2 linked regions of the Ovis aries genome follow. The protein of the gene in region 2 interacts with the protein of the main gene of each other region in a pairwise test. Links are inferred from orthologs where the notes say so. Each region holds a gene or a part of one and is shown on either strand. Other genes may lie near its edges.

Evidence for each region.
Region 1: the proteins of PPP1CA (region 2) and LMTK2 interact in a two-hybrid assay, tested with the Homo sapiens proteins (2 studies listed by BioGRID and IntAct, with this or other methods). The link is inferred for Ovis aries from reciprocal best matches to the Homo sapiens genes PPP1CA and LMTK2.

The regions. Positions count from the first base shown.
Region 1 is NC_056077.1:38,303,740-38,307,487, forward strand, and holds the start of LMTK2 (serine/threonine-protein kinase LMTK2), read right to left. Parts: upstream 2,403-3,748; 5' UTR 2,083-2,402; coding exon 1,986-2,082; intron 1-1,985. UniProt on the Homo sapiens protein: Phosphorylates PPP1C, phosphorylase b and CFTR.
Region 2 is NC_056074.1:41,699,914-41,703,661, reverse strand, and holds the start of PPP1CA (serine/threonine-protein phosphatase PP1-alpha catalytic subunit), read left to right. Parts: upstream 1-1,007; 5' UTR 1,008-1,057; coding exon 1,058-1,112; intron 1,113-1,642; coding exon 1,643-1,774; intron 1,775-1,919; coding exon 1,920-2,150; intron 2,151-2,782; coding exon 2,783-2,887; intron 2,888-3,474; coding exon 3,475-3,698; intron 3,699-3,748. UniProt on the Homo sapiens protein: Protein phosphatase that associates with over 200 regulatory proteins to form highly specific holoenzymes which dephosphorylate hundreds of biological targets.

The DNA of each region.
Region 1 (3,748 bases), on a different chromosome or scaffold from region 2:
TTGATCTAATACATCTTGGTCAAGAATCCATCTCCATTACCAGTATTAAAAATCTCTTTTGAACGGAAATACAAACTGCCAGATCTATGTGAGATTGTGCATCCTTCCCAAGAATTTAACCCTGGCAGGTACTTGTCACCATATGCCGCAAGTCTCACCATAAGACCCTCCAAGCAACGAACACGAAGGGAGAATCTACAAGAGCTGGTATATGTCACCAAATAGCTCTTTATGTTTTATTTAATGCCAAGATTTGACATTTCTACTTACAGATTAATTTTCCCGATTGCTCTGTCTCCAACAAAAACATCAATTTTTTTACTTGTACCTCCATAAAATTTTAAAAGAAGGGAATAAAATACATGTTAAGAGATTTATAGGCAGACACACTTCCAAAGGTTCCTACACAGAATGTTTTCCAAAATATGTAAAAGTTTGATGAACTGCAAAGTCATCTGGACACTTCCTGAATCCCGTCTGCATCCATATCCTTTATCCACTATCCTACCCTGCAGCCAATTTTCCATTTCACCATGAATATCTGTCCATATCAACATCGACACTCCTCCCTATAGCCTTTTATAACTTCCCAGGTACTTTCTGGGACTCTTACCTGGGCTGCCTACACACTCCTCATAATGCTCACTCTTCTTATCTATTAGATCAGAAAACAGCGATCACCTCAAAAATATCTGATTTAAGGCAGTGGCTGAAATTTAGTGATACACTGTATGTTACAATGGTAACAGTTAATACTCCACTAAAGGGCACTCAATGACATAACCTGGTGTGTCTCTGTAAACAATTATATTTAGCTTCCATTGTAGATGTGCTTGAAAAATATGTCTTTTCTAGAGACAGCACCTTCCACTTTCTGTACCCAATTAACATCATTCTAAAATAACTCTTGACCTCAAGAGTATTCTAAACAGCTAAGAGACTTGATATGGTAAAGGAGAAAAATCACACAACTAGGGGAATCTAAGACCTGGGTTTTACTTGTGGCTCCACCTACAATTTAGCTGTGTCACCTTGGGTAGGTCATTGGACCCCCAGAGCCTCACTATCTTCAACTGCAAAACGGTAAAAATTGGACTAAATTTTCTTTAAGGCCTCTTCTATCTCTAAAATCCCATGATTCTGTGAAATTTCAGTCTCCTCTCAATTCAAAGATCGGCAGCAGCAGATAACAGCAAATTAGCCTAGATTATTTTTTTCCTTAAAAAAAAAAAAAATTATCCAACTTGAGGTGCGTTCCTGGACTGAAGTTTTATCGGGGAAAATAAACCACAAACGAAAACGATGGGAGAAAAATAAAAAGAAAATCACACACTGACATAGCTAAAATAGAAACTTCAATCACCCCCTGGGCCATTTTGTCAATAGTTATTCAAAGGCTGCTACTCTAATCACTGGCTTCCTAAAATAAAGATATTTATAGAGCTGCTTCCTTCTCATCCCCAGAGATCCAATTCGAATAAAAAGCACAGCGTTTTGAAATCAATTGACAACTTCGGAAAGAGTTGCAGGGAGCGAAGGAAACTCTGCGAAGCTCTCCAAACTCATTTGTATTTAAAAGTACGATTAGGGCTAAGAAACGGTTCTTATTATAAGATGTGAGGGGGAAAAAAAGCACAGGAGGCAGGTGACATCTGGGGAAGGAAGCTGAACTGCCGGGAAGCGATATAGGCTGAGGACCTTCGGGCAACAGGTCCAGAGCCGGGACCGCAGCCTACCCCGGGGAGGGGTTGGGGGCTGCCGCCCGGCCAGCAGCCTCCGCCGGAGCCCCATCCGCAGCGCCTCGCCCCCGCTTCGGCCCTGGAGAGGCAGCCCGCCCCCAGCTCACGCCCCTGCGGCAGAACCTCGCCTCAGCACGGGCTCCGCCGGGCCTCCCGCCCCGGGCAGGCCCTCCGCTTCCCCGGCGCCGAGGCCGGGCCGAGCCCGCAGACTCCTCCCCGGCTGCCCCCCGCCCCGGGCCCGCTCACCTGCACCTGTTTGCGGAAGTGGAGCGGCCCCGGCGTGGCCCACGGCCAGGAGCAGCAGCAGCAGCAGCAGCGGCGGCGGCGGCGGCGGCCCCGGCATCTCGCCCGCCGCGCGGCCCCGGGGGCCGGCTCTCGGGTCGCCCTCCCTCCTGTCCGTCGGTCTGTCCCTCGGTCGGTCCTGCCTCCCTTCGCTGCCTCAGCGGCACCCGCGCCGGGTGCTCTCAGGCACGCGTCGCTTCAGCCACACCTCAGCCCGGCTCCTGGTCCGCACCCACCACTCCGACCTCGGAAACACCATCCTTCCCGCCCGTCCGCCTGCCCGCGCCGCCGCCTCTCAGCAGCAGCAACGGCAGCCGCTCTGCGGAGCCGCGGGCCCCGGCGGCCGCGCTCCCACCGCCATGATGGGCTGCGTCATGTGACGTAGGGCGGGGGGCGGGACGCCGTGATAGACAGCCCGTCCCGCCAGTCGTCAGTTCCACACTGGCCCTGGAGGCCCCGCCCACCGCCCTGGAGGAGGGACGGTGGCCGCCGGTGCGCCCCCTGCAGACACAGACGTGCATGGGCAGCAGGTGATGCCAGCAATTATTTTAAAAAAAAAAATTTTTTTTTTAAAGGTAAGTATAAGAAGACAATGAAAAGCATCCAGAATCCGTCCTGAATTTTTTTCTCCGTATTTTAAAAACGTGTAAAAATAGGCCTCTTTTGTCTTCAGCCTTTTTTACTTGTAATAGGCGTTTTAGACTCTTCTTAGGTTGACCTATTCAGCCACGGAGGAACTATGGGATTTTTTATTTCAGTTCGACAAGAATAGAATACTGTCTCCCCTCGCACCCGCTAATTCAGCTCCTGAGCTCAAGCTGTTCCCCTTGACAAGAGTGCTCGTCCTGTCCTTTCTTTGCCACCTGGCACGCTCCCTTTCCCTGGTGGAGACTCTCCTGAAGAATACAGTCATCTAAGGAGGCCTCTCCCAACCCCAGGAGAAATGACTGTCATCTCCTAGTGCCCTGCCGTGGCCCTGGCCCCACTGCTATCCCGGCTGCCAGGCTGTATTGTTCCTGTGACTGTGAGCTCCCCGAGGACAGGAACAGTGCACGTGTCAGCGGCCGGTGCCTGGCACCAGTGGGAGGCCTGGCTCCAGGAGGCATTCTCTACAAGAGTACTGCCTGGCCTGGATGCCCGCCTCTTCCCACCAAGAGACAAGGCCCAGCCAGCAGGTGAGGAGAGACCATCCTACTGCAGAAAGGCGAGAGAAGAATTATTTTCCAGGTAGAAGTAATAATGAGCAGAAGCTTGGGAGCTGGGAAAATGCTGGGCTTTTCCAAAGAATGCACTCATAGTCCAGTGTGTGCATGAGACGGACTGACTTGAATCTTATCAGATGGGGCGCTACCAACTGGCTTCAGGGGGGCCTCCCCAGTTCTCCAGACGCCTCAAGTCCATCTTGAATGCCAGCTCTCTGCAGTGCTGATCCCTTGAGGACACACAGACCATGTCCAGGGAATATTTGTTGGACGTATAAGGCAAGACAATAAACACCTAAGTAAACAAATAGCTGGAATGTGGAAGTGCTGGGTTAAAGTATCCATGGCTGTCTGCTGATCTCTATGTGCAAAAGGAAAGGAAGGCAAAGGTCAAGAAACGAGACAGTCACCTGTTGTGCTTCTACTTTCTACTGGGATCAGGAAGCTCCGCACTTCGAGTTTCAGGGAGCCGGGGAATGCTCACGCTGTGCCCGGGGAGGAGTCCCTGGATGTGTTCACAGCAGT
Region 2 (3,748 bases):
TCCTCAGCCACAGCTTCAGCAACCCGCTGAGGGCCCCTCCCAAGTGCGTGGTGGGGGGGGTTACCCCTTCCTCTCCAGGGCTCTTCCGGCCTGCCCCAGTAGCCCTGGGCCATGGGCTCCTCCCACCACCCCGGTGGGCTAGGTGGGTGCAGGCCTGGGTTCTTGTGCTGGGTGTGATGCAGCCAGGGCCTGCCAGAGGTAGAGAGGCCACGCTGCCTCCAGATGTGAGGTCACAGGCAAATAAAACACTCAATTCAGGGTTCCAGTGAGTATTACACTTTATTTAACGTGACTTCTTTTGTTAACGCTTTCGACAAGTCAAACAGTAAGTCATTACTGCGCTACTCAAAACACAACGACGAGACATTAAAAAATAGTAGTAATGGTGTAGCATGCGCCACGGGCAGGGGGACCAAAATGAGCTCGGCGTTCAGCGACAGGTGTCTGGGTATGGTCAGCCGCCCGCAGGCCACAGGGACCCTAGAGGTGAGAGCTCCTCCGTCAGTCTGAAGCCAACCCTTGCTATCTTTGAACCTGTTTCCTTTCCTGCACTTCGTGGATTTAATCTGCACTCTCTGGGGAGACCCAATGAGATATCAATGAGGTCACACCACCTTCTAGCCCGGGACAGAAATGGGAAGGACTATTGGGCCCTTGAAAGAGAAAAACAACTCCACACTACTTCCGGCCGCACATCCTCGGTGCAAGGGTGGGTAACTCCTCAAGGGCGGAACTAGAGTCGACCTCGCCCCGTGAAGCCCCGCCCCCAGTGTAGGCTCCGCCCCCGCAACCAGGTCAGCCCGAGCCCCGCCTCCCGAGCCGCCGCGGGCCCCGGGCCTGGCGTCCAGTGGAGGCGCTAGAGCGCAGGGGCGGCGGGCGACCGGGCGGGCCGGGGCGGGGCCGGGTGCGGCGGGGCGGGGCTGCCGGCAGAGGAGGCGGGGCGGCGGGCCGGGGCGGGCCCGGGCGGGCGGAAGGAGCACCAGGCCGGAAGGAGGCCGCGGGAGGGCGGGAGGCAGGATAGGGCCCGGAGGTGCTGGGCCAGAGCGGCGGCGCCGCCATGTCCGACAGCGAGAAGCTCAACCTGGACTCTATAATCGGACGCCTGCTGGAAGGTTGGCCGGGGAGGCGAGGGAGGTGGGCGCCCGCCGCGCCCTGGTCCCCTGCCCGGCCCGGAAGTGGCGCGCGGGTGGACCTGCCCCTCCCAGGGCCAGCTTTGACTGGGCGGGGACGGGCCGCGAGGTCCCGTGGCCACATCGTGCCCCCACCCCACCCCAGTCGTGGCGCGCTGGGAGGTCTGGGGTTGCTCCCCTTGCCAGAGCAGAACCGGGGTTGGCGGTGGCGGGGGTGGGCGCGCAAGGATTGGCCTGGGCTCTTGGCTGAGGGAGAAACCTGAGAAGCCTAGTCCCCCAGGAAGGGGTCCTGTGCTGAGGTTTTGGATGGCCTCTGCGCACAGCAGTCCCCTCGCGAGCGCCTTGAGGGCAGTTGGGGGTCCCAGGAGGCTCAGCAGCAACAGCTGCCCCTGGGCAAGGCGGGGCCGGGAGGCCCAGGAGCCCCTACCCAGAAGTGCCTTTGGGGCCACCAGTGACATTCACCCTCTTCTTGCCTGAGGAACCAGGGTCCTGACGCCTCTTTCCGCCCCCAGTGCAGGGCTCCAGGCCTGGAAAGAATGTACAGCTGACGGAGAACGAGATCCGTGGTCTGTGCCTCAAATCCCGGGAGATTTTCCTGAGCCAGCCCATTCTTCTGGAGCTGGAGGCACCCCTCAAGATCTGCGGTGAGCCCCCAGCCCAGGTCCCCGTGGCCTCCTGAAAGCGGCCTTGCCCCCCACCCCTCCCAAGTTTCTCCTCCCTTGGGCCCAACCCTGACCCTGGGTTCACGTTTAGGCTGCCCTAGTGCTGACCTGGTTCCCTGGGTCACAGGTGACATTCACGGCCAGTACTATGACCTTCTGCGGCTGTTTGAGTACGGCGGCTTCCCTCCAGAAAGTAACTACCTGTTCCTGGGGGACTACGTGGACAGGGGCAAGCAGTCTTTGGAGACCATCTGCCTGCTGCTGGCCTATAAGATCAAGTACCCGGAGAACTTCTTCCTGCTCCGTGGGAACCACGAGTGTGCCAGTATCAACCGCATCTACGGCTTCTATGATGAGTGTGAGTGGGCAGAGCATCTGGGCTGCCCTGGTCCTAAAGGGCTCTCCTTGCCATTCAGTGCGACCCTCGTGTTGACCTGGTGGCTGGGGTGTCAGCGTCTGACAAACACCTGCTAAGCTGAGTGCCGTGAAGGTAGCACCAGCCCATGCCACCCTCCCCGACCCTCCTAGAGCAGATCCTGGCACTCAGGAGGGACCTAGCCAGTGGCTGCTGGCTGAAGGGCTGCCAGGATTCTAAGGCAGGGCCTCACCTGCTGACACTCCCCTCCAGCGCATCCGATACTTAAGCACTTAGGATGCCTGTTGGGACTGGACTCTGTTAGACAGAAGCCAAGATGAACCAGACCCTGTCTCGACCTGGCCCTGCTCTTGTGCTGGGGGTGGATGCCAACCTTGAGGTCGTGCCAGAAGTGGAACTCTGGGGTTCCCGTGGACTTGGCTGCTTTAGAATTCTGTCTGGGAGGCAGTGGGGTAGTAGGGGTAGGGGGCGGGGGTTCGGTTTCCTTTTTTGCCTTCCATTCTCTCCTCCTAGCTGTGTCTGAACAACACACAATGTGTCCTGGAAGGCCTGGAGACCTGGGCTGAGGGTGGAGCAGAGGCCCTCTGGTGAGCTGTCTCCTTCCCCCTGGGCAGGCAAGAGACGCTACAACATCAAACTGTGGAAGACCTTCACTGATTGCTTCAACTGCCTGCCCATCGCTGCCATCGTGGACGAGAAGATCTTCTGTTGCCATGGAGGTGAGCACAGCTCTGGGCATGTGAATTCTTGAGCAGGATGAGCCTCCCAGGGTGAGCACCCCTGGGGACCTTGGGACAGAAGCGTCGGCTGGAAGATGTGTTCCCAGTCGCCAGGAACAGCTCTCCCTGGAGTCCTGGTATGGGTAGTACTTCTTCCATGACGTGCCCCCGCACTGCAGCATTAGGCTGCACCCACTGTTGTGTCATGGCCTCGCCTTCTTGCATGGAGTTTGCTTGTCCCCTTTCTCCAGGGCTTCCCTAGTGGCTCAGATGGTAAAGAATCTGCCTGCAATGCGGGAGACCCAGGTTTGATCCCTGGGTTGGGACGATCCCCTGAAGAAAGGAATGGCTACTCGCTCCAGCTTTCTTGCCTGGACAGTCCATGGGGTTGCAAAGAGTCGGACACGACTGAGCGAAAACACTTTCTCCAGGGAGCTCTGTGCTCCTTGAAGGGACAGGGACTTGGAAGAGGCAGAAGGTGATGAGTTCTGCCTTTGTAGGCTCCCAGGAATCCTGGAGAGGTGGGGGGCAGAGGCTGATTGGCAAAGGCTGCCTGGAGGAGGTGACCTGCCCCCTGTGCCCTCCAGGCCTGTCCCCAGACCTACAGTCCATGGAGCAGATCCGGCGCATCATGCGGCCCACAGATGTGCCTGACCAGGGCCTGCTCTGTGACCTGCTGTGGTCTGACCCTGACAAGGACGTGCAGGGCTGGGGCGAGAATGACCGCGGCGTCTCCTTTACCTTTGGAGCTGAGGTGGTGGCCAAGTTCCTGCACAAGCATGACCTGGACCTCATCTGCCGGGCACACCAGGTGGGCTGGCAGCCCCCATCTGGGTTAGAGCAGGGCTGGCAGCCAGCTCC